2 linked regions of the Daphnia pulex genome follow. The protein of the gene in region 1 binds, or shares a complex with, the protein of each later gene. Links are inferred from orthologs where the notes say so. Each region holds a gene or a part of one and is shown on either strand. Other genes may lie near its edges.

The links.
Region 2: the proteins of rab5 GDP/GTP exchange factor-like (region 1) and ras-related protein Rab-21-like are in contact, whole or in part, in a crystal structure (PDB 2OT3), measured with the Homo sapiens proteins. The link is inferred for Daphnia pulex from reciprocal best matches to the Homo sapiens genes RABGEF1 and RAB21. Residues at the interface, in NP_001273991.1 of Homo sapiens: Leu253, Cys254, Lys296, Phe299, Asn300, Lys303, Pro309, Ala310, Ser311, Ala312, Asp313, Phe315, Leu316, Pro317, Ile320, Leu347, Met348, Thr349, Gly350, Glu351, Gly353, Tyr354, Tyr355, Thr357, Asn358, Cys360, Cys361, Ala364, Phe365, Ser373; in NP_055814.1 of Homo sapiens: Ser19, Phe20, Lys21, Gly26, Glu27, Gly28, Lys32, Thr33, Leu37, Thr50, Thr51, Leu52, Gln53, Ala54, Ser55, Phe56, Ala71, Trp73, Asp74, Thr75, Ala76, Gly77, Gln78, Arg80, Phe81, Leu84, Ile87, Tyr88, Asp91.

The regions. Positions count from the first base shown.
Region 1 is NC_060026.1:15,793,011-15,808,779, forward strand, and holds the start of rab5 GDP/GTP exchange factor-like, read right to left. Parts: upstream 9,078-15,769; 5' UTR 4,753-9,077; intron 154-4,752; exon of another isoform or gene 1-153. UniProt on the Homo sapiens protein: Rab effector protein acting as linker between gamma-adaptin, RAB4A or RAB5A. Involved in endocytic membrane fusion and membrane trafficking of recycling endosomes. Stimulates nucleotide exchange on RAB5A. Can act as a ubiquitin ligase.
Region 2 is NC_060020.1:1,404,087-1,418,947, forward strand, and holds ras-related protein Rab-21-like, read right to left. Parts: upstream 7,113-14,861; 5' UTR 7,017-7,112; coding exon 6,929-7,016; intron 6,871-6,928; coding exon 6,818-6,870; intron 6,750-6,817; coding exon 6,680-6,749; intron 6,598-6,679; coding exon 6,500-6,597; intron 6,433-6,499; coding exon 6,314-6,432; intron 6,241-6,313; coding exon 6,030-6,240; 3' UTR 5,710-6,029; downstream 1-5,709. Other genes in the region: uncharacterized protein LOC124192199, read left to right, coding at 510-1,328, 1,402-1,501, 1,562-1,734, 1,810-2,022, 2,086-2,418; SIN3-HDAC complex-associated factor-like, read right to left, coding at 2,918-3,224, 3,285-3,541, 3,609-3,762, 4,052-4,125; GDP-fucose transporter 1-like, read left to right, coding at 7,369-7,499, 7,558-7,765, 7,830-7,968, 8,040-8,126, 8,197-8,693; ribonucleoprotein PTB-binding 1-like, read right to left, coding at 9,782-11,160, 11,336-11,429, 11,506-11,688, 11,887-12,134, 12,307-12,637. UniProt on the Homo sapiens protein: The small GTPases Rab are key regulators of intracellular membrane trafficking, from the formation of transport vesicles to their fusion with membranes.

The sequences.
Region 1 (15,769 bases):
CCGTAGTCGATATATAATTTATTAAAAAAAGCAGATATTGAAATCGCACAAAATGTTGGTTGATTTATGTGAAAAAATTGGTCGCCACAACCAGACAATGTAATATCGAAAGAAAATGTGTGGCTTCTTTACTTCCATATTGTTTTTGGTGCTACCGGTTCTACCCGGAAAGGAAAAGTTTGTGTCTAATTTTGGTTGTTTTATTTGACATGCAGCGAGCATTCCGCTGTGTAAAGATATTCCCCCTGAACCATCACGTGCGTCGAATCAGTTTGCTATTTCACGAGTTGGTTAAGGTTATTCTACTAGCGCGTCTGGAAAGAGTTTATTTTCTCACAATTTCGAGTATATTGTGTGCATGATGCTTTCCAGGTTTTTCCTGTTTTCAAAAATACAATTTTCTGGTTTCTTTTAAAACCCTCCTACCAACCCCAAAGAATGAATCAATTATTATAAATCAGAAGTGGAATTTTCGTTCGTATACTATGCTCGACAGGAAAACACGAGGTCGAGAGAGAAAGGAGCTCTGCTGCTGGTTTGAGGATATGCCAAGTCGTCCGGATGCCATTCCACTGTCAACTGCCACATCTCATAGCTTCTTTCTCTATGACGTCTAGAGCTGCGCCTATGTAACCTCCTCGGCAGAGACATGATTTGCTTCCTCATTAATCCGTCAGGAATCCCTTTTTCTCTCTCTCGAAATAGAAAAAAAGGAAATTACCGTAAAGTGGATGAAGAATGCTTAGTGCTGTGCCCAGCGAAGATCCCGCCCCAGATGATTGCACTACACACACACATATAGCCCTGGACTATCAGGTATAATTTAATGCCATCTTCCATTTCGATAGAGAAAAATGTCTACATCTTTCCAAGTCTGAATTGAATGTTGCACCAAAGTTTACGAGGCAACTTTTATTTTCCAGTGTGAGAACGGCCTGGGGGCTTCGTTCCATTAAAGAAAAGTCGTTGCGTTCGTTCGGTACTGAGCTTCTCTTTTCGTCGTGGCCAATCGTCCGGCAAACGTGAATTGATGGTTTTTCCCCCATTTTCTTTTTCAGCCTCAACCAGCGACTATAAAACTTTTTCTTTTTTTTTTTATTCCTTTCGGATCTGGGGGGAACCGATCATTTGCATGGCGGATGATGATCGCCGATTGAAAACGACATCATCATCCATAACAGTAATCCTCCTCCCCCCTCCGGCAACTATTTCTTTTAGCCCGCGAAAATTTGAAAAGAATAAATCTATGACGACGATTTTTATTCTGATACTATTTGCATTTATACGCCGGAATGATCGATCTGACTGACATGATGGAAGAAATCAATAAGTCGCTAATAATAAAAGATGTTCGTTAAATAACATTTGATTACGATGTGATGAGAACAGCAGTGGACGGAAACGCAATGGGTCTAGCTGCTGCCAAAATGGCTGTCGTCCAAGAAACTATACACAGACATCGTCACACAAGATTGTTGGTTGGTTGTGTTCCCCCTCTAGTTCGATTGTGTTTTGTTTATTGCCCCGGAGGCACTCATCCGCCGAGACAAAAAAAAAAGGTATACCCCCCAAGAAAAAAATTGTATCACATTGGATTTGATGACATCAACCTATACTATAAAATAGTCTGACGAATATATTTATTGTATATCATATACAAATGGCCGATGGATGGGAGGGAGGGAGTATCGCGCAGATGGGAGTAAACACCCCCCACTTAGAGAGGGACCGACGGTAGCAGCGGCTGCGGAAGAATTATGAGCTGCTGGATGTTATGTGGAGCCGACATGTTATGATCTTTCTCTCTCTTTTCCCCCCTATCGGCTTCTCTTTTTATAGTGAAAAGAGGGCGAACCCCTAACGCCATCATCCTTCACTTGCAGCACCCGCACACACACACAAGCATCCGGATGGATCGAAAATCATTTTCTTCTTTTTTTTTTCAAAGAATAACTTTTAAGTATGATATCGGTCGGGAAACAGTCCCGCCCGCTCTTTAGTATCAAATTTTTATTGTCCAAATAAAAATGGTAAAACTATTAAAAATAGGAGGCCTATAAAATAGCAAAAATCTATAATTGAAGTTGTGTTAAATTAAAACGAAAAAGAAAATTGGCAAATCAACAAAAGACGTCAAGAGTTGTTGTTTTTGCGTGCGTAAGCGGAACGGTGGGCGGAGTTATTGGACAAGTGGACGAGCCAAAAAAGTGTAAAAACCCACAAGACGAAATTGATGGATGGAATGAGTGGGAGAATAAGAGCACAAGGGCCATGGATAGATGATTGTGTGTTTAGTTTGATGTCACTTAAACTCGTACTATATAATATCGTCAAATCAAAAATTCAAGAAAAAGTGGAAAATGAGCCTGAACGATATTCTGTCAAAACATTTTTTCGGTTTTTCTTCCTTACTGTACGTCAAAGCTGCTGGGCTGCGGTCGGGTTGGTCTCTGGCACGTTTTGGGTTGGGGGGAAGCGGACCTGGACTTGTGTGTGTTTTATAAATAAATCTAGTAACTATACATCTTGTTATTCCACCTTGCAACACACAAGTGGAACGAAACAGCAGCAGCAGCAGCCCCTCGGCGTGCATTCTTTTTTAAATGTGGTGGCATTCCGCCCTTCTTCTTTTTAAAAGGTCGGGAATGTTTTTCCCCTTCAAGAAAAATAACATCCCCTTCCTTCTTCTCCTGCACACACACTTCAATGTGTCAAACTATCGCCATCCTTATCACTCATTTTCTATTTTGGCTCTCTCTCTCGCCATCCGGCCGCTGGATGGATATCTATTTCGCCTCCGATTTTTGTGTTACGTGTGTAGAAAACTTTGATTCATTTCGTGGTATAATCATGTTTCCGGTATAGTGTACAACTCCTTCGTATATGACGGATCATTCACCGTCTCAGATGTTTGTTTTTACACACATCCATCCGGAAGCGGACAACAACAACAACAAAAAGTGGAGAGGGGGGACTCTTTGAGCCAAAACATCTTTTCGCCTCATTTGTTTTCATTAGCGGAAGAGACTGACAGACAATCCCTCCTGGTGGTGTAAAAATCACCGATCCCCCACCCCTCCCTGTACACACATCCGAGATGATCAACGACCGTCAATCGCTGACACATCACTACACACATCCAGCATCCATTGTCCTGCCAGCTACTCTCTCCCACTCAATATACTCTAATGCACGATACACTGGTATACATACTATACCAATTTTAAATGTAACAATACTCAAAGGGGTTCAGGATCGGATTCTGATTTTCCTGCAATCGATCCAGCAGCTCCAGCAGTCGCTCTGTCTGTGTATAATCGAATCAAGACACACATCGATCAGCTCTTTCTTCTTCTTTTAAGGCCTTCTATGGTAAAAATGTTTCCGTCGTCACGGGTTTGATTGATTTCAACCCCCCGGGCCGGTTTTTGTCGATTCGTCCATCAGCCGGAAAAAAGAAAGTCACAACTTGTAATTGAATAACAATAAAAAAAACTGAAATTGAATCCCTAAATTGAGATTATTTCTGCTCATGTGGGCAACCGCCTTATCTGACTAGAAGGGGGGAGTTTGATTATAGACAGCAAACAGGAGGGATCAATTCTATACGCCCATTGATAGACAACCCTCTCTCTGCTCGTTGACTATATAACTGAATTCATCAGGATTTGCAGGCCAGCTGCCACATCCGCCGATGATATTCAATTCCTCCTTCCCCCCATGATATTAGGCAAAGCCAATCTGCCTTCATTAGGTTTCTAACCAGCAGCAGCAGCAGTGGGATCGCTTTAACTTTTACAACGAGTGTCGAGGGAGTCTGTGTGGTTAACTGGTAGAAGAGAGTAGGAGGGTGGCACACTGAGCGATTGGCACCTCGCCCAAGGGTTTTTGTGCACTACACACATCCCATCGATAAATCCACATCATCATGCAGCCAAGAGTCAAAGGAACACAGGATCGTCCTACTGTGCCAGGGGGTACTACATTAAGTGTATAGACGTCTATCTGTTTGGGGGGAGAAAAAAGAAGTTGGCCATCGACTAGAAAAGAGAATGGCCCCTGTGCTGACATCAGCAGCACAGAACCGATAGAAAAGAATCGAGTCTTTATGGGGGATCCTCCTCCTCCTGCTGGATGTGGGTGGATGGAACTTGAAGAGGGAGGAGGAGGTTGTCTGTCTTTTGATGCCCATTCTTCTTCTTCTTCCCCCACTCGCAGCACTTTTTGGACTCGATCCAACCTGACCTTATCTTCTTTTTAACCCCGAGACTCGACTTCAACTTGAACATTTTTCTATCGGTTCATCATTGCGCAGCGCACAATAGACTCGTTTTTCCCCCTCAAAACTTGTTCAACTCTTTACATTCGATTTTATTTATACATGTACCTGCTGGGGAGATTAACAAATGTACAGAAGAAAAAAAGAAGAAGAAAAGTTGTTCAATCGACAAGAAAGAGCTGCTGGATATACTAGACTGTCTAGTATACAAATGGAAATGTTGGATATGTATGTATGTAAAGAGATAAAAGTATAGTGAACGCACAGTTGTGTGGTCTTACACGCTCCACTGATCCGGAAGTTGCACAGATATAGTCGACAAAAGAATCTTTTTTCTCTCTCTTTTATAGAACGAAATATTCATGTTTTCTAGGATATAGATTGCGTCATAGATAAATATAGAGTTGACACACAGCTCACTCAATTATTATTGGAAATGATTAAGAATTTAATAGATATAAAAAGATACTTACACGTTGCACGGTTTCCCGGTACAGATTTATCGGCAGGTTTATTCGGGGTTCCGGTCTTTTAACTTACCGACACAAAATACAATAAAAACCAGAAAGTTGTCCACCGGGAGAGCACGGTCGTAAATAAATCCCACGGGAATCGACTTACTTATTCACCCCCACCATCAAACGTTCTAAGCACATCCGAAACTTGTCACCCACACACGTGTAAACACCCCTGGAAAAATCACGAAACAAAAACTGTTCCACTCGATGAATTATGAAAAGTTAAAAAGAGGTGTCGGACCCTGTGTTGTGACGACACTAAACGTCTAGAAAGAAATGGTGGACAAAAACAAAAGGTGCTTATTGCTGTCAATTTTATTGCCCATTCATTTTCAACAAACGGCATGGAGGAGGAAGGGAGGAGGAAACAGAAAAAAAAAATTAATTTGACCACCAAACAGAAAAACAAAAAAATGTGGGAGGAAAAAGGCAAAAGGTTCAAAGAAAAAAAAAATTCAAATTTTTTGTAAATTTCAAAAACATTTTTTTTTTGGCAAACTGAAAAAATGAAAATTAATTTTTTTTTTTTTTTTTAATTTTTTGCATCTTGAAAAATCGTTGGGGGCTGAGGGAGGGGAGAGAGGTGGGTGGTAATAAAGATACACCCAAACAAATGTTATGTCATCATCATCATCATCATCAAATCGTGTTTTTTAACAAATGTGAAACACACACACACACACACACTCACAAAAACAAACAAACAAACAAACGCACACAAACATTTTGTCAAATTAAAAATGTTTTGGGATGAAAAATCCTGAGGTTATACAGGGGGTGGGGGAAAAGGGGAGGGGGTGGGAGTTTTTTTCGTATTATTTTTTTTTTCGCGATTCGGTTCAGGAGATTGTGTGTTTTGTTGTAGTTGTCGTGTCAGTTGGTGGTGGCATATTATTATTATGTAGGGCAAGAATTCATGCAAATGAGCCCCACCCCCTCCCACACCTTGGCGGCTCCATTTGAAAGAGACACAATAAAACAATTTTGAAAGGGGGGAGAGATATGGGAGGAGGAGGTGGAAAATATTGAAAAGTGGCAAAATGGGCGAAAAAATTTCAACACGAGAAACAATTGATCAACAATTTTCAACCGTTTTGGGGGGAGAGAGAGAGATAATGATAATGGGAGGAGAAAGAGAAAAACAGAATGGTTATGTCATCAAATTGAATGCATTATTGCCATTGAAGAAAGGTAAATTAAAAAGAAAACACATTTGGAGGAGGAGAATAGCTACCGGCCGCAAATTTCCAACTACTTTTTTTTTGTAATCAATTTATAAAAAAAAAATCGTCTCGACGCACACATAAAAGAATCAAAAACCCTTCCACCCTTTGAAACAAATTAAATTTAAAAGTCGAAAAAAAACACAATTTGGCAAATGAAAATGTCAGAATATGAAGAAAAAAGGGCCGAGGGGTATTTGATTGGTTATGTGTGTTTCATCGTTTTAAAATTCGTATATTTTCATCCAATCGATATTCATTTTTCCTGTGTCATTAATCGGTGATTTAATTTTTTTATTTTATTTTTCATTTGACTTGATGCGGCCACACTAAACGCAAAGGTTCATCTAACGAAAGAGCGTGAGAGAGAGAGAGAGTGAGAAGAGTGGAGAGAGAGGGGAAGAAAATAATCCAAAAAATATAATTCCCTTTTTTTTAGTGTTAACTCATTCACACACACGCGTGTCTTCTTGACGAGATCGACGATTTTTTAAAAAATTGAAATTGATAAAATGGCGCGAAAAAAAATTTCAAATTTCCTGATGAAAAATTTCAAAAATAAAAAAAAGGCGGTGTGGGGGATAACAATTTAAAAAAAAAAAGAATCTTTTGATATCGACGCCACATATTCCCCCGAAAAATAATTAAAAGACTAAAAAACTAAACTTTTTTGTAATCTCGAAATAAAAATTTTGTTATTTTGCATAGCTCGTAATTCACTTTAAAAACTCTCTTTCTTAATTTCCCTCTCTCTCTCTCTGCGCTGAATAATTAAGTTCTCACCCCAAATGAATAAAATGTATCAAAAATTCATATCAAATGAATTGCTGAGAGATGATTTAAATTTTTTGTGTTTGGCGCGAGTCATCGAAAAAATTTTAAACTTTTTTTTTTGTTCAGGCTGTAAATGAATTTGGTGGTGGGGGAGATAAAAACACAAAAATTGGGTTGAATAAAAAAATGATTTTTTTTTGTTTTGTTTTCGTAAAATTCTCTGTGTCCTCTGTGTCTACTACTCTGCTCTACAGCGAGAAACGGCTACCAACAACATCCTAACGGGCTCTCAAAAAAAGATTTCATTAACATTTTTCTCGGTTGGGTCTTTTTATTTATTTTAAAATCGATTTTTTGGCTAAAAACATTTTTAAATTTTTTTTTTTCCTGTTTGATCTCTCGGGAGGAGCCAAAAAACGAAAAAAAAAAAAGTTATTTATTTCTGGTTAATTTCTGTGTAAGTTTTTAAAAAAGTTTCTCTGCTTTTTACTTCCACGGGTTTTCTTTCCCTTTATTTCCGCTTCCATTTTTCAAATTTCCCGCCACCGTCCGTCCCTCCTACAAAAAGTTGAAACGTAAAAAAATGCGCGTGTGTCGTTGTATATCCGTTTAGTTTTGATTGAAACAAACGAGTTGAGGAGTAAAAATCTTTTCATTTTTGTTGGAACCCCACCAGGAGGTGACGGAGAAAAAGGCGGAAGGCGGATAAAATAAGAGCAAACAAAACCTCGTAGACTACTATTACTGTTTTTACTCAACTCTAGCTGCTAGTTTTTACTAGAGAGAAGGCGTTGGTTCCGCCTATCACAGTCGGTAGTAAACGTCACGTGACCTTTGTGACACACCTGAAAAAACAACATTTTTCTTCTTTCTTTCCGTCTCGTCGTCGTCGTCGCCGCCAAGAGAATTTCATTTTGTTTACAAGAGGAAGGAATTTTCAAACAAAAATGATCGGCTGAGTTTTTTGACAAAAAAATTGGCACTACCGAAACAAATTAAAAAAAAAAAAAAAAAATTTTACTAAAATTTTTGGGGGAGGGAAAACCACACCTTTTGTCGTTCCAGCTAAATTTTAATTATTATTATTACTCGATTTATTGATTTTAGCTGCCGTTTTTTTCTTCTGATTCTTTTCTTTCGCAATTTTTTTTTGGCTGTGTTGTGTGTGTGTGTGTGGATTATTCATTCGAATCGGCCGAGTCTATCGGAGCGATTCAATTGGAGAATATTTTGGGATCAAGGCCGAAAAAGGAATAAAGAAAACATCTGATTACGTGATACAAATTGGGCGGGGGGGAATATAACAGAAACAATTTGGGAAATAATCCAAAAAAAAGATTGGAGAGGGAAAATCAACACACGATCAGAGAAATTGAACAGGTAAATGACACACACATACACACACGAACACGATGGGATTTTTTTTTTTAGTTCAGTTTAAATTTGTGGGAGCAGCAAATATTATATAATATGGCCATTGTCAAAGAGGCCCCAAAAAATTCCAAATAGATAATTTTTTTGGGATTTTTCTTTTCCTCTTTTTTTGTTGTTGTCGATAATTGAGTATGGATCAAATTTTTACACGAAATAAATTCCCTCCCTTTTTTCGGTAAATAGTCGAAAAAAAAATGTCCAATAATAAATGTTTTTCAGGGGGTAGGGGGTGGGTATTATCTAAATAAAGACTACGTAAAGATTAAGTTGTGTAAGTTTGTCTACCGTCATCGACTACGAGCTGCGCGCCAAATTCGAAAAAAATAATTTCAAAAAAATGTTTTTTCAATTTCGCCTCTACCATTTTTTTGTTTGTTTTTTTCGCTACGACTACGAAGAGGAAAAAGTCAAGAAGAAGGAGAGAAACTACCGTGTCATTTGCGGAGGAGGAGGATATTTGTCAAAATAGCGAAAAAATTAATTCGAGAGTTAACAAGGGAAATTGGAGAGATCGCTTGTTATCCTTTCCGTCTTATCCACAAGTTTCAGATAAGATTAGAAAAATAATCAAAAAATGGTATATGTGTGTGTGTGTGTGGCTTTCTGGTGAGGAGGGTTATAACATTGGCAAATAAACGGAGGGGGTGTAACAAAAAAAAATGTTTTTTCCGACCTTATTTTTTAAATTTCCTTTTTCGTTTTGTAATTTTTGTTGAAAGTTGTGTCTGCAATTTCTTCTTCCTTCTTTCGCTTCCTCAGACGAATCCCATTTCTTTATCTTTTTATTTGTGACGCAATCTCTTGTCCGGCCGTCATCCGGGGCGATTCTCCTGGCCGTTCATCGTCTTTGTTGTTAATGGTAGCCGTTGGTGTAGTGGGTCGGAATCAGGGTACCCTGCGTGAATGAATTTGACAACAACTCCAATTAAAAAAGGGAGAATAAATTAAATGTCCAGCGTCTCTCGCCTTGCAGCATCAACTTTAAAAACATCGACTAAACACAATTGAGTGAGAGAAACAATCAACGATCGATGATCGAGAAGAAATCGACCAGCCCCCTGTGCGCTCAAACAAAACCCAAAAAATAAAAAAACCTTTTTTTTAGTCTCCCAAACAAAAACGAAGATAGGGGGGACGGATCCTGGCCAGCTTTAGAGATTATACGACGTCGGCGACGTTGGCGGAAGAAGAAGAAGAAGCTTGACCGGATCAATGACCCGAAAACGATATAGAGGCGAAAGAACGAAGGAATAGAAAGGACAAAAGAGATAAAAATAAAAAGAAACTAGTCATCCGACTGGAAGAGAAGGAAGGAAAAAAGGTCCAGTGCCTTTGGCTACATAATAGACGGCCCAGAGAGAAGAGAAGGAGGGGCGATATCTATTCAGAATTTCTTTTTAGCCCGTGAGCCGAGTCCGATTTGATTAGCGATAATCCATTCCGTCATTCGATCCATCGTCCTTCCCTTTTTTTTCTCTTCCTGGATGCCTTGCACACATATCATTTCTTCCTTCCCCTTTTCTCCTTCCATCCGCTCGACTTTCGAGCCGCTCGAGCGTGAACCAATCCGCACAGCCATCCACCTCCCCCCTATCCTTTACCCCTGCGTGCGTGTGTGTGTGCTGATCAGGCAAAAGACTATTCAACCGACCCCCTCATCCACCCACGTCGCCCCTTTTGTTCTCTCTGTCGACTGGATCGATCCCGCCCGGCAATGTCCATCCATCCAAAACCTTGGGAAATTCGGGACAGAAAAAATGTTTTTTGGGGTTTTATAGTGGGACTCACCCTGGCGAGGGCCGTCTGATGTGATCCGGCGGCTGCAGCGGCGGCTGCAACGGCCGCCGCCGTGTATCCGGGCAGCGATCCGTCGTAAAGTCCGCCGTCGCCGGCCGGTCCTGGCGAAGCGTTGGGGTTGTGATGGCCGCCGTGACCGTGGCCGCCGAGTCCAGCGGCCAGCGAAGGCGGGAAAGAGCGGCCGCCCACTTGCGACTGCTGGACGTAACTCTGCGGGTAACTGCTAATCATCGCTGTAATTCACCCAAAATAAAACAAATTAAATTCACAAATCAATTTAGAAAAATAAATAAACTGAAATAAAAATTAAACAAATTATTTGTCTAAATAGTTCAGACTTAATCGACATTTAAAAATTATTTAAGAGCTCTCTATCGACATGACGAAGCGATTTCTGGCCCAGCGTAATTGAAACATATCCAGCGCCAGCCATCGCCAAAAGAGGGAGAAAATGATGAATGGCATCAGCGCCGCTAGTCCTACCCAATAGGCCACGCCCCCCAACGGTATCGATAGATAATCGATCCGCGTGTTAAACAGAGATCCCCCTCGTCGTCATGTTCACTCTCCTCAGGAGTAGGATATATATTCTCGACCGGGTAGAGGATAGGGGAATAAATATAAATGGACGTTTGTTACATTGCCGACACACACACACGCGACATGTAATTTTTAAAAGAGGAAGAAACAAACGATAAATCAATGCGCATCCCCCCCATCAACCAACCAACCAACCAACCACTCGACTCTTTTGTTAATAAATAGCGCAGAAACGACTAGACTCGAAAACTATTTCCCAGCCAAACAACAAACTCGATGACAAGCAAAGAATCGAAAGAAACAAAAAAGTAAGATGAAATCAAACGACTTGGGATGAGAGAAAATTCGATTGCCCGCTTAAGTGGAAAGAAGAAGAAGAACGTGCCAAAAGGAGAAATTAAGAAAATGGGACGGTGCGGTGGTGAAGTGGCGCGTCGGGCGGAACAAGACAAGACCATGGCGGGGGCCCCATCCGCCATCGGACGCCGAGAGGAAAAAATAAAACACAAGAGCAGCTTCAAGCACGAAAGAAGAAAAGAAAAGAAAAAAAGCAAAGCAGCAGCACGTCTTTCACCACACTTCATCCATCCATCCATCCACTTCATAGATCCTTAATGTTGCACATAAAAGGAGAGGACTTGATTCCGCATCCATCTCTCAGAAGAAAAAAGGGGAGAAGAAGAAGAAAAGTTGTGTGATGGATCCCCTTCCAAGACAAAACAAAAAAGAAAGAAACTCGGAGGGAAAACTTTTAGTCGTGAAGCAAAAATCCAAAAGAGGATCGTGAGAAAGATTCAGCTGATAAATCACGAACTCTTCTCGTCTCTTCTTCTTTTCTGGATGGGAATAGAAGATGAAGAAGAAGAAGAAGAACAATGGAGAGCGTGAATCGAAACTCTGATGATGACTGGAAAATCATCCCCCCACCCTCCCACTCGCATGGACAGGAGCGGATCAATCGACGGCCATTGTCTCATCTCCCCGGGAATTTTTTAGTTTTTGAATTTTTGAATTTTTTGAATTTGGCGGGTGACGACGACTGACGACGTAGATGAATGAGGGGCTGACCTGAACGGCCTGTGTAGGCGTCGCGGAGTAAAGGCGAATTGCCCATGTTAGCGGCCTGATGAGGATTGTGCTGGTGGTCGAGGTGGTGGTGGTGGCCGCGCGGATGGAAGGCGGCCGGACCGGCCCCGACGCCGCCGTTGTGGTGCCCGTGAGCGCCCGTGTAATCGTAATACGTGGCTCCGCCGGCTCCCGTCGGCTGGCCGGCACTGGCTGGACCATTGCGGTGCTGCGACACAGAAACTTCGCCTCCGCCGAGGCCTCCGCTAGTGTTGCTTCCGCCTGCGCCACCGCCACCGCCTCCGCCACCACCTCCTCCGCCACCACCACCTCCAGGACCGCCGACGCCTCCGCCGCCGGCCATTCCATTAGCTGGACCACCAGCTCCGGCAGCGGCGGCCGGAAAGTATCCATAACTTGGATAACCTTTGATGCAAAAAGAAAACAAAAATCAAAAATTCAAATCATAATAAGAAGGAATCAAACTAAACAAAACTAAACCAAACCAAACAAAAACAAAACAAACAACACAACTAATAACAACATAAAATAAAAATAAAAATTCAGCTCGTGCTTCCTCATCTCTCGCTAGATGCCACAATCACCTATCCATTCCACACAAACCATCACTAGAAAAAGACACAAACCGGACACAGACAGACATACACACAGACACATCCAAATGTCGTCAATCAGGATCGAAACTAATTGTAATAGGACTAATAAGAGTGGCACAGCCGAATGTTAAGTAAGTTTAGCACATTTTTTGGAATGGAAAAATTAGTTTTTGGTGTGAAATTAAAGTGAAAGAGAAACTATAGAGAGATAGACCGGCAGTGGATCAAATATTATTGACGTGTCAGGGTTGGGGATGGAGAGTTGGGTGGGGAACTTTCTTGGCCACCCCACCACCCCCCTATATCCTGCTTCCTTCTCTCCCACACACCCCCACCTTTGACTCTCGACTGTACGTATCGATTAAACACATTTCTATGGGGGGGAGAGTATATATATAAATGTAAGGAGGCAAAGCACACAGAGGCGGCGGCTCCTGGCTCCTTGTGTACGTGTCAACACGAGCCGCATCGGAAATCGAACTGAGGCAAAGAAAGAAGAAAAAAGTATTGGCCCAACTTTTTTCTTCTTCTATTCGGGGATCATCGGAAAATCTTTTTTCCATCAAATTCAAATCGCCAAGTGCTCGAAAATGTTTGACTCTCCAGAGATGAAATAAATAAATCCCCCCATCCCCGTTTCTCATTCGACACAGTCCATTTGGTCTACATTTTCTACAAAAAGGAGCAGCAGGAGCAGCAGAGAGGCCCCCGAAAAAAAATCATAATAATAAAGAAGAGGAAAAGAAATGGGGAAACGGAAGGCCCTTCCGCACTTCCTGCACAACAACACACGCGCCAACAACCGCCCAGACACGGAAAGAGAAAAGGGAGTTGAGAGTGAAGGGTGGGTGGGTGGTCCAATCATCATCATCCAAAAAATAAGCCAAATGAAAAAGAAAAAGAGTTTTTCTTGGTGGGTGTGTTAAAAAGTTGGTAGCAAGTTGTTAGATCACTCGGACGGTGATGATTTCTAGACGTCACGCAACAACAACAAGACGACAACAACAACAACAAGCGCCTTCTAGAGGCAAATCGATCGAGGGAGAAACACAACTAACACCTCGCCATTATTATTATATCTTGGAGGAATCAGGGGTGAAAGATGTATCAAAAAAAGAGTGTTAAAGCATTCGCAGACTAGATTGCAATTAGATTTCGTTGTTCTATCAACAACTATTTTTTACCCCCCGACAGCTCTAAAAACTGTACAGGGAGGGGGGTCAGTGTTATTCAACAAATTCGAGTAAAAAAACAATAAAACCTGTTCTCTATCAAATAAAACAGACACGACAGACACAAAACACAAAAATAATTATTCAAGAAAAATAGAAAAACTGGTTGGGATGTGTCTGCTGTTCTGAGTAGCGGGAAATGATTTTTATACTTATGCAAAAATTTCACGGTCGTTCCTCTCTGGCGTCTCTTTTGTTTTTGTTTTTTGGTTTTTGGTGGAGGGAAATTTGACTTGTCAAAAAGGCGTCCAGATGTTTCCAACATTTTATTGGCGCCCGGAATCGCATCAGTTGTTCGCTGTGCATTACAATCGAAATTCCCGCCTCTTATTTTTTAAAACCAGTTAATAATTACAAAAATTTTGGGATTTTTATTTTTTTTTAGACAAATCAAAATGTATTGATTATAGAATTAAATTTTTTTTCCTCATTTTCAAATTTTCTTTTTTTTTGTGTTGGCAGAAAAAAATTGTCACAGTTCGTTTTTGGGGGGTTGGGAGATTGGGGGTGGGGGAATCTATATCTTTTCTAGAAATGTGGGGGAGGACTCCATATAAAGACTCCAAGACTAAACAATGACTAAAATCATCAGCAACAATTTTTGAGATAAGAAGAGAAAAAGGATAAAAGATGATGAAATTTGTTTTAAAGATAAAAAGAATTTTTAAAGATAAAAAGGTTCGTGATGTGAAATTTGTAAGTGATATTATTATTTCGACGTGCAAAAAAAATGGTAGGGGGGGATTGGCCAGCCAAAAAAAATCGCATTTATTTCCACCCCGTCGATCCAATTGAATTTAAGAAAAAAAATCAATTAAAAAACTTTTTTGTGTCTTTAAGTTGCTGTTGTTTTCCTCTCCCCCCCGGCACAACTTCCTTGCCCGTGTTTGTGTATCTGTCTGTACGCCTTTTCTTTCTCGCAGACGACAACGCCGCAATGCAGATAACAGTGTCGTCGTCGTCGTCGTCCTCTGTGTGTGTGTGTTTTATCTTATCCATCGGCCGACCTCACAACACACACACACACTTGCCCCTGCCGCATTTCCATTATTTCTTACACACCCCACACACACAAAATCAAAAAAAGATGATAGTGGCTTTTGTGCCAACTGTGTAACACACAAAAGTGAAGCGTGACCCCCAGTAAAAATTCTTTGGGGTCCGCGTAATCTTGTAAAAAAAAAATTATTTTAGTTTTTGAAGTTGTGTGTGTAAGTGTGTGGGAAACCCTTTTTTTGTGTTTAATTTTTTCAATTTTTCTTGAGCAACATTAAAAATATATTTTTCCATTTCAAAATGAAATTCAAAAATAATTGCACGCCATTTTCACCGGTTTTTAATTTTGTTTCGACTCCTTCACTGAAATGTTCTGTTTCCAATTTTTTCAAATTTAAATGACAACTCGATTCGTTTTTATTTGATTATTTTACAAACCCCCCCAATGGACCCAAACAAAAGTTTCTATTTTTCCTACTACAATCCAGGGAGTTGATTTCAAAATGATCGGATGGATTTGATTATATATATATATAATATATATACGTGATTCAATTAGAATTATTAAAGATATATTAGACAAAAAAAAAATTGATGAGACACGGCTAACCGATATCAATACGGTTTGGCGGTGAGTCTTTTTTGTTTTTCTCTCAACTGTCAAATTAATCTGTCGTCATTTCCTTGGTAGTAAATTTTGTTTTGTTTCAAGAGATTGCGATTGGGTGTGATGAATTCGGTAGAAATAATGTCTAATTAAGTAATTATTAGTCGAAAGAAGCTCAAAAAGGAGGGGGGGGGAGACACACACTGAACGATTAAATTGTTGTTCTAACAGCTCGACTATAACTTGATTGTAAAATTAAAAAGAAGAATCCAAAATGAACATTTGGACTAGGATCTAAATTCGATCGACTACGAGAGACTATATATGTGTTAAGAGACACACACACAACTTTTGTTTAAAAAAAAAAGACGCTAAAATCCCGACGGTTTCTGAGAAATGGCCATTTTGAAAAAAAGGAGAGGGAACTGAAAATCGAAAAGAAGGAAACATGATGATCAGTTTTTTAGAAGGGGAAGGAAGCAGGAAGGAACTAGATCCATCCGTCGCGTGAAAAAAATGTGTCAACGGGAACAAAGTTTGCAGGATTTTTTGTTTTTTTAAATCCAGCGGATGGGGGGCAGTAGTTTTGGGTTGTGTGTGTTATACAACAGCAGAAATTGAAAGAAGTTTTGGGCTTTGATTTTATTTGGTTTAGGATCGTCGTTGGAGTCGGATGGCCGGTCCCGT
Region 2 (14,861 bases), on another chromosome or scaffold:
ATTTCTATAGTAATACTTCTGTTTGTGCGGTTCAATATTCGCAATAGAAACATTGACTTTATACGAAGCCAGGAGCCCGCGCTTGTTAATTAATTGTTGAAGAAATTATTTTATACCTTGTTCATGTGTTTTTAGTTTTTACATCAATGTACTAACTATCGATTCTAGATTGATTTTAGACCAAACAAATAATTGTGAATGATAAATTAATTTAAAATGCGTTATCTTTTGTAGAACGGGCTCTCACGAATAAATATTCACTGCTTCAGACTCTCAGCTCTTTGCTTGATATAATTACTAGCATATCTTATGTGAATATGAATATGTTTGTAATTAATTAACTAATTATAAGTTTTTTCGGTTTTTTGTGCCAAAAAGTAAATTTGCTTATCCGTATCCGCTGATTAGTAGCATCCTGCTAATATAACAAGTTTGAATTTTTAGTCTGCTACAATGGCGCGGAATTGACATTTCTTGTGTTTGTTTTCTAAACAGTCTTAAATTTTATAATGAAATTTCATGAGTGGAATACAACAAATTCCAAGTGCCTTTTTTATTCTAATCCTAACCACATGCAATCCTTTACTTTCTCTGGAAATTCCTATAATGTGACAAACAGCTCATTCTTGGGGAAATGTGATCAACAAGGCAAATCATCTCTCCTTGAAGCTTTGTGTAAGGTGTTCCAAACCAACACTTCCAGCCTCAACTCTCCATTTCACAAGCTAAATCAAGATGAGTTCCTTAAAGTTAAGACATCACTTTCCCACTACAAGTCATGTTTACCAGCTACAGAAACTGCCGAATGGTTTATAGAGAGTGGAGAAAGTTCAAATTGTTTAATGCCACAGGCCGAAGCAACAAAAGAAAGACTTGTTTGCTATTTCCTGACAAAACAACGCAAGGTTGTGGGAAAATTTGTAGTCAGTAATGCTGAAAACAAACTTATTATTCCAAGAAAGTCAGTTGATAAGGGAAATAGCAATCTTCAGTTGCTTAAGAACATGAACCAATTATCCAGTGCAACAATCAAAGATAGATACAAGGCTCCATTTAATCACTCTAATTTGAGTGATATTGAATTCACATCCAGCCGGTTGCAGATTTTTGGTGTTGTCACAGCTGTGAATAAACTTCCAACAAAGACAACAAGCTCCTGGCATTCTCTAATTTGCATTTCAGACCCATCTCTCATCATGATTGCATCTGGTGATGAAGAAGAAGAGGATAAAGCCCCTGGTGAGTTCAAAATGTCCCTATTCTTCAATACATTAGAAGATCATCCAGAATTCCATCGAGGTGATGTCGTTCGATTTACCAATGTCAAGGTAAGGTATTTATATTAAATTGCATTTAAGCTAGGTTGAATGTTATTTTTATCTTGCAATGATTTCACCACAGATAGAGACTCATAAAAATCGTTGTGATGGACGGGTCTTCAACAAAACAGATGTCACCGTCTATTGTCATCCTGATAGTAAAGCACCTGTTCTCCGCGAAAGTAATATCTGAGCTCTATCATTCAAGTATTTAATTAATAATGTCGTGTATCTCGTTCTAGATTTTGATGACCGAGCAGCCGTTGTTCGCGTTTTGAGCCACTGGTGGACGTTAAACCATCGGTTTTTCGACTATGTCACGCCACATCCAATTTATCATCTTCTTTCCAGATATCCAGGCATTCGTACTTTTAGGGAATTATCTGATGAACTCATCTGCGACTTGTATTGCCAAGTATATCATTCAAACCTGGATGGATTCTTTTTTTTTGAAAGAAAATTATCAATGTCAAAATTGTATTTTTTCTAGGTAGTCAGTATATCGGATGACTCTTCAGATTTAAATTTTTTGTGCGTTCGAGACGGCACTATTTTTACACTCCAAAAGCAACCCACGGCTAATCAGTCTGAACCAGAGATCGAGCAAATTAACACCGACCCAAATGAGAGAAAACCTTCTTTCGGGTTCTTAGGACTCGCCATTTTTGAACCCGAACACTGGAAAACAATCAAAACACAAAACGTAGTCCCGTTACTAAATTTTGTCCAATTCAATTCGAATTAATTACTTAATAATTCTTTACAGATTTTTGTGAACGATTACGTGATTATGCGTGAAGTAAAAGTAGTCTTTTTGACTGAGGAGACGTTGGCCAACTTACGATCCTATTACGCCTACCACCATCCGTGTGTTTTGTTCCGTCCGGCTGGCGATAAAGTAAAGAAAATTTCGGCCAATCATCACGAAGCGTACAAGATCCGTGCTCGCTTGCACCGCCTTCCCGATGAATTGGAAAAGATGGATAGCTGGAAGTTCCCTTCACAAATTGAAGAAAAAGTACCTGAAGACCCTCTTTTAGTCCGGTTAAATGACTCTTCCGTACAAATGAACATTCTGAAAAGATTGAAACGTTCTTGAAATTACAGTAATAAATAGAAGCGAATTTTGGTACGATACTTGTTCGTTTATTGCAGCATTGCATTAACAAACGTTGTAGAAAACACACAACCACGACTATTGATTAATTAAGCTGCACAGAGTACAGTGACGCGCACAGAGCCATTTTTTTTTATTTATTTTTGTTTGTCTTATTTTGTAAAGTACGTGAGACGTAAAGTGTTAATTATTAAATTTAAACATTTGAACTAATTTGTGTTTGTTCTCTTTGGGAGAGAGAAAAAAGACCAACCACACGATACTAGATGAACACTGGGATGGGTTTTGGGCATTTTTTGTTTTTGTAACGAAATTGAACTATTAAAAGCCGAATTCCTTTTTTTCTTTTTGTAAAAGAAGGAATGGCCCGTCAAAGAAATTGGGGTCTATTGTTCATTTTGGATTAAAAAATTCAGGTTTGGGTTTTTTTTCGCGTCGCGGAAGGAGGAAGCGCGCCTAAATTTAAAAATTTAAATTGTTACTAAAATGCGGCCGGTACTGCCATTTTGGAATGGCCGTTTTGGCTCTCAAACGGCTGGTCAAACTCTGCCGTTTCTGGTTCTGAATCGCATCCACTCCCCTTGTCGGTGTCCACCTTGTAATGGATTTGTGACGACGAGGCAACAGGCGAATCGCTACTAGAAGGACTGGCTCCTCCGCTGGGCGAAGATGAACTGATTGATTCTTCACGACTTGACCGACGAGCCAAACACGGTCGAAAATTATTTGTGTCGATCACGATGGCGTTCATCGGGCCACGGAAAATGGTTCCGCAACAAACAGTTTCTCTGTAAAATCATTATTACAAAATTAATTCTTGTCTTAAAATCAATTCAAGCGAAACTCACCTGTGCCACAACTGAGGGTCGAGAAAACTAGGCATCTGGTTTTCTATTTTGGTTATTATTTTACTGCGAGTGCGATTCCAGTGTTTTTCTTCTCGTTTTTCTCGACGTTTCTTGCGAATTACTTTGGAGACTAATTTTATGTCGTCATCATCATCGCCGTCGTCAACACCTCCTTCCTCTTCATCTTCAGGCTGGTTAGCCTTTTGCACTATAGATATTTTAGGACGGACTTTGGTATTGGCCCGGGCATCGACTACCTGCAACATTGAATATCCAATGAATGTAAAATTTCTTAATGCATTTTTTTAATTTGATCAAACTGACATGGCCCCAGTGCCGCAGCAATCCGGTCGGGAGCTTGCGAAAGCGTTTAACAAGTAAGACGCAAGCGTTACAAATGTCACCCGAGCGTTCCTCTTCCAGGTGAAAACAAGCTTCGAAATACGGCTGATATTTCCCAGAATCGGTAAACCTGGAACTGTTGGATTTGAAGAAATAAACATTTTTATTTTTTTCAAAATAGATGCAACTCAAATTCGGTTTTGTCCGCTAGAGTGCGTTCCAGTCGAATTCGGGTCACGAACCGTAACCATCCCCTCCGCTTCTCTTCCCCAAAAAGGGGCGGAGTGAAGGGGTGTTTTTATCGATCATAGCTGCTGGTTCGCTTCTTCTTCTTCTCTCCCTTTCACAACGGACGTAGCCACCAATCAACTTGATCGGGTCCGCGATACACAAAATGAAATCAAAATTGCGCGATCAATATTCACCTGCTGGATTTTGCACGGCAAATGCAGCAGCCCGTCCCCGAACGGTAGATTTTTGGTTTGTGAAAACTGAACATTTTCTTATTTTTCCGCGGTCGAATTGGATGATGACTGGGTTTCTTGTTCGACAAATTGTTGTCGACAGTCTCCGAAGACTCCAGCCTTGTAACGAAATTCCTTCCTAAAAATAAATTCTAAAAGTCGAATAGTTTCGGGTTCGAAACTGCTGGGTTCTGTAGTGCATCTCTCGCTTCCGGAACGCCTGAACAAAAATTTGGGGAAAGTTAAAAAAGAAAATAAAAAGTTGTTTCACCATTTTAACATGCGCTAGTAGAGGGGGGAGACATTGTCCCTAGGAGGGGAGGGAGAAAATACATAATAATGAGATTGAACGTTGGGACAAAGTGCGTGCACAGCACACACACAGTACACCACACACAAAGTCTCTCACTCCAACAGCTCGGTCTCATGACGACTTTTATTTTTCATTGGGCCTACACATACGGACCACTTCCTTGTTTTCATCCGAATTTCTTTCATTGTCTCTCTTTTCTACTACCCCAAAACAAAAATGATGAACGTAACTAACCACGACCCATTTTCAGTCGCCATATTTTATATTTTGATAGACTCTTGATTTTTCCCATCCCGTAGGGTAGGTTTCTCCGAAGCGTGTCGGACGAAAGCCATGTCAACCCTCTACTTCCTTAGTTACTGAATTTTTTGGTGGGGGAAACGATGCAGTTTTAAAACAAGCCATAACCGAATTGAAGGACGATCAATGAAAAACTATTTTTAGATGATTGTAAAATCTTACCTGTTAAAGATAAGGTCCCTTAAACCAGTTCGAGAGATGGCACACGACGAGTGAATGCGTGGAAGTTTGTTTGGTGACTGAGTTACGTGAGCAGGGTTGAACAACCCCTGAGCTCCTGCTCCTGCTAGTACACAGCTCTACCCAAGGCCGAAATGGCCTAAAAAGAACCCTACATATGGAGGGAGAGAGAGAGAGAGAGAAGGTTCTCCGGGTTGTTATAATAGTAGGAAGGGGAGGGAGGGAGGAGCTGCATACCCTCGACGCTATCTCTCCTCCGTTCACAGGGGGAGGAAGGGGAGGTTGTTGGGAGTGCCAGAGAGGCGGCCATTGAGGTTACTCGACTCAATATCGTTTAATTTCTATGAAATTAACAGAAGAATAATCAGCGGCAATTGAAAGAAGCACGTGCGGAAGTGCTTGAGCCGCGTTCAAATCGCCGCCAATTTTTCTCTATTTTGCAAACAAACCGCGAAACGCCAGATGCCAAAACAATGCCATCTAGCGATTAGTTCCCGCATGACTGGCGTAGCTATGTGTTTAGCTTTAGGGGCTGAACCTTTGCTCGACCAAGAGGGAGGGGAGAAGAAGAACGAACGAAAATATACACACACACACACCACAATATTTCTAAAAAGAGAAAACAGCCCAAGACCGGTTTCGCTTCGGTCTTGAAACCCTTACCAAATGAAACGAAGGGACGATCTGGTCTTCCTGGGCCGTAGTAATAATGACGGGCGGAGGGATCGTTCATTCACCTTTCGGACAACCTTGGCCCTGTAAACAAAACAACAAAAAAGGAAGGCAAAAGTTATTCTTAGTTTAAGAGTGCGTTATACAGAGAGCGAACTGTTATTGTATCTGTATTTGAGGTTTTCATTTTTTAAAAATAATACAACATTCCATCAGATAATTACAAAAGAAAAAAGAAATCCCGTCACAAGAGTGACTATATAACGACCTGATTGCTCATTCGCCAACAATTTTCTTGACACGGATAATGCGACACCACAATCACCATGACTCTAGAGAACATTTTTCCGAAACTCTAGTTTTTTTACAATTAACTTGAGGGGTGAAACGGAAAAAAAGAATTATAACAAGGAAACGTTCATTTAATAATAAGTAGAAGCGTGTGTGTGTGAGAGATAGAGGAATAAAACGATACTAGCAACAAGATTTTTTGGGGGCGAGACTATCGTCAACAATAACCACTTCTGGATTGCGATTACTAGTCAAGTTTGTGGAACTATTGAGTTCATTCTGACTCTCTGCCATCCTCAAAAGCTGCTGAGTTACGTCCAAGAATAATTCCTCAATGCCTCGATTCGTCTTGGCCGAAGTCTGGTAATGTGTAGCACCAACCGATTTGGAATACCTTTTTTGTATAGGCAAAGGGGTTGGAAATGTTGATTAAGTAAACTGATGATTGAATATGACATGTATCTTACTCTAAGGCTTCTTCTGCTGGAACATTTCTTTCCTTATCCAAGTCTATTTTGTTTCCAACAATTGCCAAAACTACTTTGTCTCCTAGAATCCTTCTCAGTTCTTTAACCCAGTTTTGAACCTTTCAATGAGAAAACAATTGCATTGCATACACACTCTTCATTTGAAATAATATTTGACTATACTACCTTTACAAAGGAATCTTGGTCAGTGATGTCATAAACAAGGATGGCAGCATGAGAATCTCTGTAGTAGATGGGTCCCAATGCATGAAATCTTTCTTGACCTTAATAAACAAACAAACAATCACAAGTGTTGAAGAAATTTTCTAGACTACATTTGATTGATAAGATGTCATCTGTATTTACCAGCTGTATCCCAAATGGCCAGAGTCACTCTTTGTCCTTCCAGGTTAATTTTTTTAGTCAAGAAGGAGGCCTTTGAATTGAATCCAATTAATGTTTCATTGTCATTTGAAAAACATCAAATTTTATGAAATAACTTACTTGAATTGTTGAGAAATGTTTTTCGTGAAACTTATCTTCGACATATCTGAGGACTAGTCATTCAAATTAGTCCTCGCAAAATGTCATTCAAAATATCAATTTTAAACTTACCAAGAGAAGTTTTGCCGACGCAACCTTCACCGAGAAGTACAATTTTAAAATGTAATTGACCAAGGTTTGAACGAAAGTTACTCGACATATTTAAAACCTTTCATGAAATTAGCTGGTAACAGGATTTCCTTGCTCAATCACGATTAATTACAGAAAGTGGTCTGCTATCCGTTGACCGCGCCATCTACCAAAGGGAGATTTTATTACGTAAAAGGAGCAACAGCGTCATCTGCAATCGGTTCAAAACAATGGGTCGGAACTCAGCCCATTATGCACAGATGTTTGCCACATGTACACAAAAACATAAAGACAACCATTATTCTCTGTGAACTTAACGACTGCTGTCATTCCTTCGAATTTCCCAGGAAAATCCCTAAAAAGCCTAGTAGTATCTAAAACTGGGCTGGTAAAGGGTTGGACACAAGTTCGTTCCGTTTTTGATGTATCCACGTCAGCACTCGTCTTTAACAATCAGTTCTCCTAGTTTCAAGAGAAAGATGGAAAAAGCTACAGCTGAAGAATCCCTTTTAAAGAAATACCTGAAAATATTTGCAGTTGTCTCAGCATATTGGTAAGATTAATTTTATGAATCGGGAACTGTCAGGGCTTAATTTTTCTTAATTTTCTAGGGCCGTGTCTATATCATTGGTGTTCATTAACAAGGCCTTGCTGAGCGGAAGTACAAATGGAACCACAGTTGACGCTCCTTTGTTTGTCACATGGTTTCAATGTGTCGTTACAGTTGGTCTATGTGTTTTCCTAGCATGTGGAGCCAAATTTTTCCCTAGTTTGGGTAAATTTCCAGAACTTGGTTTGGACGTACAAATTATGCTCAAGGTATTCATTGCTGTCAGACTCTTGTCTCTTTGTGGCATTTATTTGATCTCTTGTTCATATTCAGGTTCTTCCATTATCTTTGGTGTTTGTGGCCATGATTTCCTTTAACAACTTGTGCCTGAAATATGTTGGTGTAGCATTCTACTACATTGGGAGATCCCTCACCACAGTATTCAATGTTTTGATGACATGGGTTTTATTGGGTGAGATCAACTCCTGTCGTCGGTTGTTTAAAATCTAAAAGTAAAATTTTTTTATTTCTTTTGCGTTATAGGCGAAAGGACATCTTTTAGTGCCCTTGTCTGTTGTGCCATTATTGTCGGAGGTTTTTGGCTCGGTGTCGACCAAGAGGGCGTAGCCGGTGGGTCAATGAACTGTTGGAATTTCCCTTTTAAAACTTGAAAACTTGGCTAAATCATTTTATTATGCAGGATCTCTATCGATTTCGGGGACTATCTACGGGGTGCTAGCCTCTCTCTTCGTGTCGCTCAATTCCATTTACACAAAAAAAGTGTTGCCATTCGTGGATCAAAGCATTTGGTTGCTGGGTTATTACAACAATTTGAATGCCTGTCTCCTCTTTTTGCCGTTGATGCTGCTCAATGGGGAATTACCGACGTTGATATCTTTCCAAGGCTATGGCAACCTCACGTTCTGGTCCATGATGGTAGCTGGAGGTGTTTTTGGTTTTGCCATCGGCTACGTTACTGGTCTCCAGATTCAAGTGACCTCACCTCTCACACACAACATCTCCGGTACAGCCAAAGCTTGCGCACAGACGGTGCTGGCCACCTACTGGTACAGCGAAGTTAAACCTTTCCTTTGGTGGATATCCAATTGGGTGGTACTCTTCGGCAGCGCCGCCTACACCAGGGTCCGCCAGCAAGAGATGGAGAAGAATCACAAAGCTAAAGTGATTGCATCTTAATACATTTTCTATTTTGGAAGTTACTTGTTAATGAGCTTATTATTATTTTCCTTCCAATTATGACACTATTAGCCTATTGCATATTTTTTTTTTCAATGTTGACGTTCTCCGTCCCAATCAAAAAGAAAACACACGTCTAGGAGATGCTCATTAATTAATGATAATTACAAATGATTTTTTGAAACATTCTAAGATATTTGTTTGGTTTTGTTTTATTCTTTTTTCTGTATTTCCAGTTTTACATGAGGGTAAAATGACCGACGATTACGCTTTATTTCGTGTGCAGATATGTGTGGGAAAAGAAGATTCAATTTTCGAGCGCACACGCGCATCGGAGAGAAAGAGACAATTTGTTTTTCAACAGTTGAATAAAGCCATTGAAAATGAAGTTAAGAAATTTGAATTTCAATTGAATTTCAAAAAAAAAAAAGCCTGACAGAGACACGGAAGAATAGTTTCACGTACATGAAAGCCTTGTTTGGAGGATCCTGGGAGTCAACAATAAGTGTTTAATTAACTTAAATTAAAATGCAAATTGGAGGGGGGAGGGGGAACACAATAAGTGGAGGAAACCAAAAGTCGGGCGATTCAAAAGTTTTGAAGGAAAAAAATGTTTGACAAGTAAAAACGCAAGACATATTCGGGATAAGCCACCAATAGATGGAGTTATATATATAAGTAACGGGGGGGAGGGATTGGCAAGGTAATTACAAATACACCGCCTCAGCTGCTCGTTTATTTCTTTTGCTTTTTCAGTTTTTAAAAATAATTTAAAATTGAAATCGGGTAGAGCTGCCGTCTGGATTAAAAGGGCCTCGATTAATTACCTCTTACACATGAATAGAGCCGATTTTTTTTTTCTCTTTTACAATCACTATGTTCACACAAGGTTTTATAAGGCCCCGTCTTAGATTAAAAAAAAAAAATCAAAAAATGGCGCACGTAAAATAATAACGTTAAAACATTTAAAAGAGAGGGTTCGAATTGAAGATCATTAAAATGGAGATTTAAAAATGCCAAATAAATTGTCACCAATACGGTTGGTATTTTTAAAACAAGTTGTGTGTTTATAGAAGGGACAAAACTTTTCAGTTTCGCTTCTTCCTCTTAAAATAAGAGTCAGCATAGTGTCCGCCAAGGCCTTGCGAGTGCTGGCCGATATATCCGGCTTCCGGAGAAGGCTCAGGCGATGGTAAGACGTGGTTACTGTATTTCCGTTTGGTGCCCTGCTGCTGAATGGGCGTTGCGAAATTGTTGTTGTTGCCCACGCAAATAGCTGTTCCACGAGCTGGGCTTGTGCTGGGACTGGACGACGAAGTCGGAGATGAGCCCCTGGAACCGGCTGAACCCAACGAACTGGGACCGCCACTTCCTAGAGAGCGAACTTGCCCCAGAATGTGGTTCCAGGTACCGACATTCGTGGAAGCGCCCAGGGAAGATGTCGACGACAGCGACGACTGACAAGAAGACGATGATGGGCTGTGGTTGAGTGACGGAGGTGGGAGGTAGTTGGCATAAGGGCCACCGGGAGGCGCTGTCGTCAGCAGACCGCCGAGATTCCCATACGAAGCGTTCGTGTCGTGATTCAGGGTCGTCAGGCTCAGCGGAGCCAGCGGCGACGGTTGTTGTTGTTGTTGTTGCTGTGGGGGAGAATTGTTGGGCTGTTGAACCATTTGAAGGAGAAGACCGAGCAAGGCTCCAGCCGCCGTTTGTTGTTGAGTCAAAGGAGGTGCACTAGAGTTGGGCGAGAGAGACTGGACAGCCGTGCTGAGCGTTCCCAGGAGGGCCGACAGTGTTTGCTGCAGGTTGTTGACAGCCGCAGGTTCCTGCATCTGCATAGGGGGAGGTGGCGGAGGCGGCGGAGGTAGAGGTCGAGTGGGTTCTGGTGGTCGATGATAAAGAAAAGGTGGCGGCGGTACGTTGATATTCAACGGCGGAGCTTCCATCAATCCGCATGGGAATGTCTGCTGCTGCTGTTGATGTTGTTGCTGCTGCTGCTGCTGCTGCTGAGCTTGGGTGGTAGAAGTTGCTGGTCGATAACTGTTTCCATACTGCGATGGAATCATCCGGCTATTACCAGCAGCAGCTGGTGGCGGTTGGGAACAAGAATTTGGCCCTTGCTGCTGCTGCTGCTGTTGTTGTGGAGGAGGACTAACGTGACTAAGAGAACCACTGCTACCACTGCTACTGCAGCTACCGGCCGGACTCGGTTGCGTGGTCTGCTGGGCGGCCAAGAGCATCGACAGGGCCGCCTGGGCACTGGCTGCTAGCGAAGCATTGCTAGCTTGCTGCTGCTGTTGGTGGTGGTGGTGCTGGCCGGATTGCTGGTGGTGGCCAGACTGAGCCCTCTGGGCCCCAGTTAGCGCCGCCCCCGAAGTGTTGCTAGAATTGCCTGAGCTCGTACTGTTTGCCGGGTTGTTGAGATGTTGTATTTGCGTTAGGATGATATTCTGCAGACTGTGAACAACTACACAATGGGAAGAGAGAAAAAAAAAATAAATTCAATAAAATGGAGATTACCATTCGCTGCTAGGAGTAGAGAGGGGAAAAGAGAAAAATCGATGGATCGAAACTATTGTATATCGCTATAATAGTGTTTCCTCTCTCTTTTTTCACTTTTCACTGCGCGTACGTCTACTTACATGCAGGGTTCTGTTTGGTCAGGTTTTGCAATTGATGGAAGACGGTATCGCTTGGTGGTTCGGGTAACAGAGCAGCTCTGCCTTTATTCTGACACTGATGAAACGTCGAAAGAGAGAAAAACAAAATGATTAAAATGTATAGCCAGAAAAAAATAAATCAAATCAAATACCGTGTCGTTCAGAAGCTTCATGTAAATGTTGATGGCCCTAACACCGGGTATAAAGAAAGCCACCCTGATGGGTGAGTTATGAAAGAGTTTTCCGTCCAGGACTCGGAGTGTATCCTCGGCTTCCTGGGCTTGCGAGAATTCAACCAGACCCCAATCTTGAGGAGCTCCACCTTTCAGCGCAATCTATAAATAAATAATATTCGAAAATAAATGTACAAGCGCGCCATGGAGGTCTTTTGGGGAGAGAGAGAGAAATATTAGAGAATATCCATCATCTGTCGTCTGTCAGATGCAGCCTGCAAAGCACAAGTAGCAGCTGCTGCTGCAGCTGAGCGGCTGGGTAAAGTTAGTATATTAGAAATAACGTCTTAGTAGTAGTACCTGGCAGTATGGTGGATTGGCCACTTGAGAAAAGAGCGTCCTAAATTGGCTCATGTCTCGGAATCCGCCCGGGAGGCAGTCGACGTAGAGCAACTTGGAGTGGAGACCGGCGAGGGTGACGATTGAAGTGTCGAGCCAATCGCAAGCCAATGCCTGACCCTCGTAGATTCTTCCATCGAGCTGGGCTCGGGCGCGCTGGCCGCAATCTTTGCTTTGATATTCAACAAATCCGTAGCCTTTGCTCTCGCCTGTCATCCCCATCAAGGAGAATTTTAAGAAAGAAAAAAAAAGATTAGATGTGTGTCAAGTCAATTGAAAAACTAACTGTACACTTTTTTAAAATTTTAGATTATCTTTTTTTCATTGCATCAAAAGAAAATATAAATTTCAACTGGAAGGGATGAAGAAAGAAATGCGAACCGGTTTTGTCGCTGTAGAGTAGGAAGCAACGGCGAACTGGACCATACGAAGAGACGAGCTCTTTGAACTCGTCGTCGAGGAGATCGCGTGGCAGCCGGGCAACGCAGAGCAGGTTTTCAGTCGGTGATGGGCTCAGCGAGATCTTGTGCCCTCGGATTGTGCAAGCGTCCAGTTTGTCACGGATGCACAATTGTTTCCATTCTTCCCAAAAATCTGGCTGACTTTCGGCGTTCACAGGCGCTGCTCTCGCCCAGTTGGGACCCGATCCGCACGGTGATAACGTCACGCTGGAAGATTTCAGTCCTCGGGCGTTCAGCATGTCTCTGATTTCCTGTTTTATTTTAAACAAAAAAATAAAAAAGAAACACATGTCATTTTTTCTCTTTTAGTTATTATTTTTTTCATAAGTATTGTTGGGGGGGAGTGCGTGACAAAATGGAACCCAGAGCTCAATGCGTATGCATTCCAATTGTTTTCCGACTTTTTTAAATGCAAGAGAGACCAGGAAGTTATGGTGGACCGGAACGAGGTGATGGGGGGAAAAGAGGGGAAAAGGCACAGATTATTTTTAGTTTTCGACACAAACTAAGCAACAACAACAAAGGGGGCGTACATCATATAGTATATATTCTGGACGTCTATATGGCCTTCCCTCTCTCTCTCTGGAATGTTTTTGAAAAAAAAAGGCCCTAAAAAGGATCTGCCGGCCGTGGCTAACGGGTTCCGACACACGAGTTCATAAAAATTCTCTCCACAAAGTGAACTTTTTGTTCAAAGAAATTTTACGAGCAGACGAAAAGTTGAGAGAACAAGACAACAACAACAACAACAGAAAAAAAAGGTATTGATGGGTTGTGTGACAGAGCCGAAAAACGGGGCGGCATAACATGGCAATAATTGGGCAGCCAAGGAAACGTCTAAACCAATTAACTTTGTTGAACTCTTTTCGTGAACGAAATAAATGAGATATTGATTTTTTCTTTTTTTCTTTCTCCCCCCATACAGAAAAAAGTTGCTCCGCCGAGTTGTGTTCACTTTATCAACGTCGAGTGACTCAAATAATGACGACAGTCACAACAAGTAGGTCAACTATTCCATATTAATTATACTAATGATGTTTTTTTCTTCTTTTCCTTCCTTCCTCAAAGGACGTGCTGCACACAAATGGGGGGAAAACAATGAACTCTGCCTGAATAAGAAACGAGAAATGTGTTTATCTCTATTTGGTTTCGAATAAACATGTAACCAACTTGTCTCTTGATCTACGTGTGTGGGTGTGTGTGTCAATAACAAGTCTTGAAGAAGAAAAAGAAAAAAACTAAATTTTTCTGGGGTGATTGAACGGACCTGACCTCCCAAAGTTATTTTTCTTTTAAAAAAACATTTTGCAAGAGATGCGGGGTCGGGAATTCCGTCCGAGCTGCTAGACTCCACCTACGGCTTTGTCTGTGTACAACAGACTCACTTTTTTGTTGTGTGTTGTCTTGCTCCTCCTTTTGGGTTAACATTGACCAAGTTTTTATGGTTATCGGGAGATCTTAAAAAACTTGAATAAAAATTATTTACATACACGTTCTTTTTTATTCTATCCACCAGTTCCCCCTTGGTTCTCTTACGGTCATGGTGGCGGCTCGGTTGAACGACCTCTCGACAGAGGGGAAAAAGAAGGAATCAAGACGAAAAAGTAACGGAACTTGACGGGCCAGCTCGCCCGAGGGACGGCCGCAGAGTCTTACGTGTGTGTCGGCGGATAATACCCGACCGTATATAATAAATACGTGACCCCCCTCGGTTCCGTCTCTCCCCGCCAATGAACGGCTCAGAGACAAAATGTCTTCTTCACCTTCTTGTCTTCCATTCTTCTATCCCCTCTACACGCAGAGAGAGAGAGATACGGTTACAAACATATTTGCCTTCAAAGCGTGGGATGTGTTCCCTTGCATCCCCACCTGTGGACGTCGTGATGTCACGGTGGAAATGAGACGCGATCGATAACCCTCGGCATGTTAATAATACACAAGGATATGACGTGTAACAGAGCATCTCTTAAGAAAAAGTGGGGGAATAAATATGCCAATTTTGATGTGGGAGCTAGAGAAAAGTTTTCTTCGGAAAGAGTGTCAGCTGGCGTCGGCAGGCCCAAGAAAAAAGACGGTCGACATCAAACTCGAAAGAGTGGGGGGGGGACGTCCCCGTTGGCGCGTGACAAGCAAGCTGATCAACTGGGTGGTGATCATTCAACATGGAAATGCGTACAGGAAAAAGAAAGACTTTCCAACAACTAGTATCGCTTGCGAGGCTGTTTCCTTTCAGGCAAAAGAAACAACTTTTGAATCGATCCAAAGAATTTGGTAAACAACACGCCCAAAAGGGTAAAAGATGGATGCGGGCGGATGAGCTCTCATCGATCCCCCAACACACACACACACATACAACAAACAGACAGACAGAACAGCAGTAGTACATTCGGAGAGAATCAATTCCAAAGTTGACACTCTCACTAGTGTACTGCCACTCTGTGGAATGGTGCTCTTCACGCATCTGTAAACTTCGGG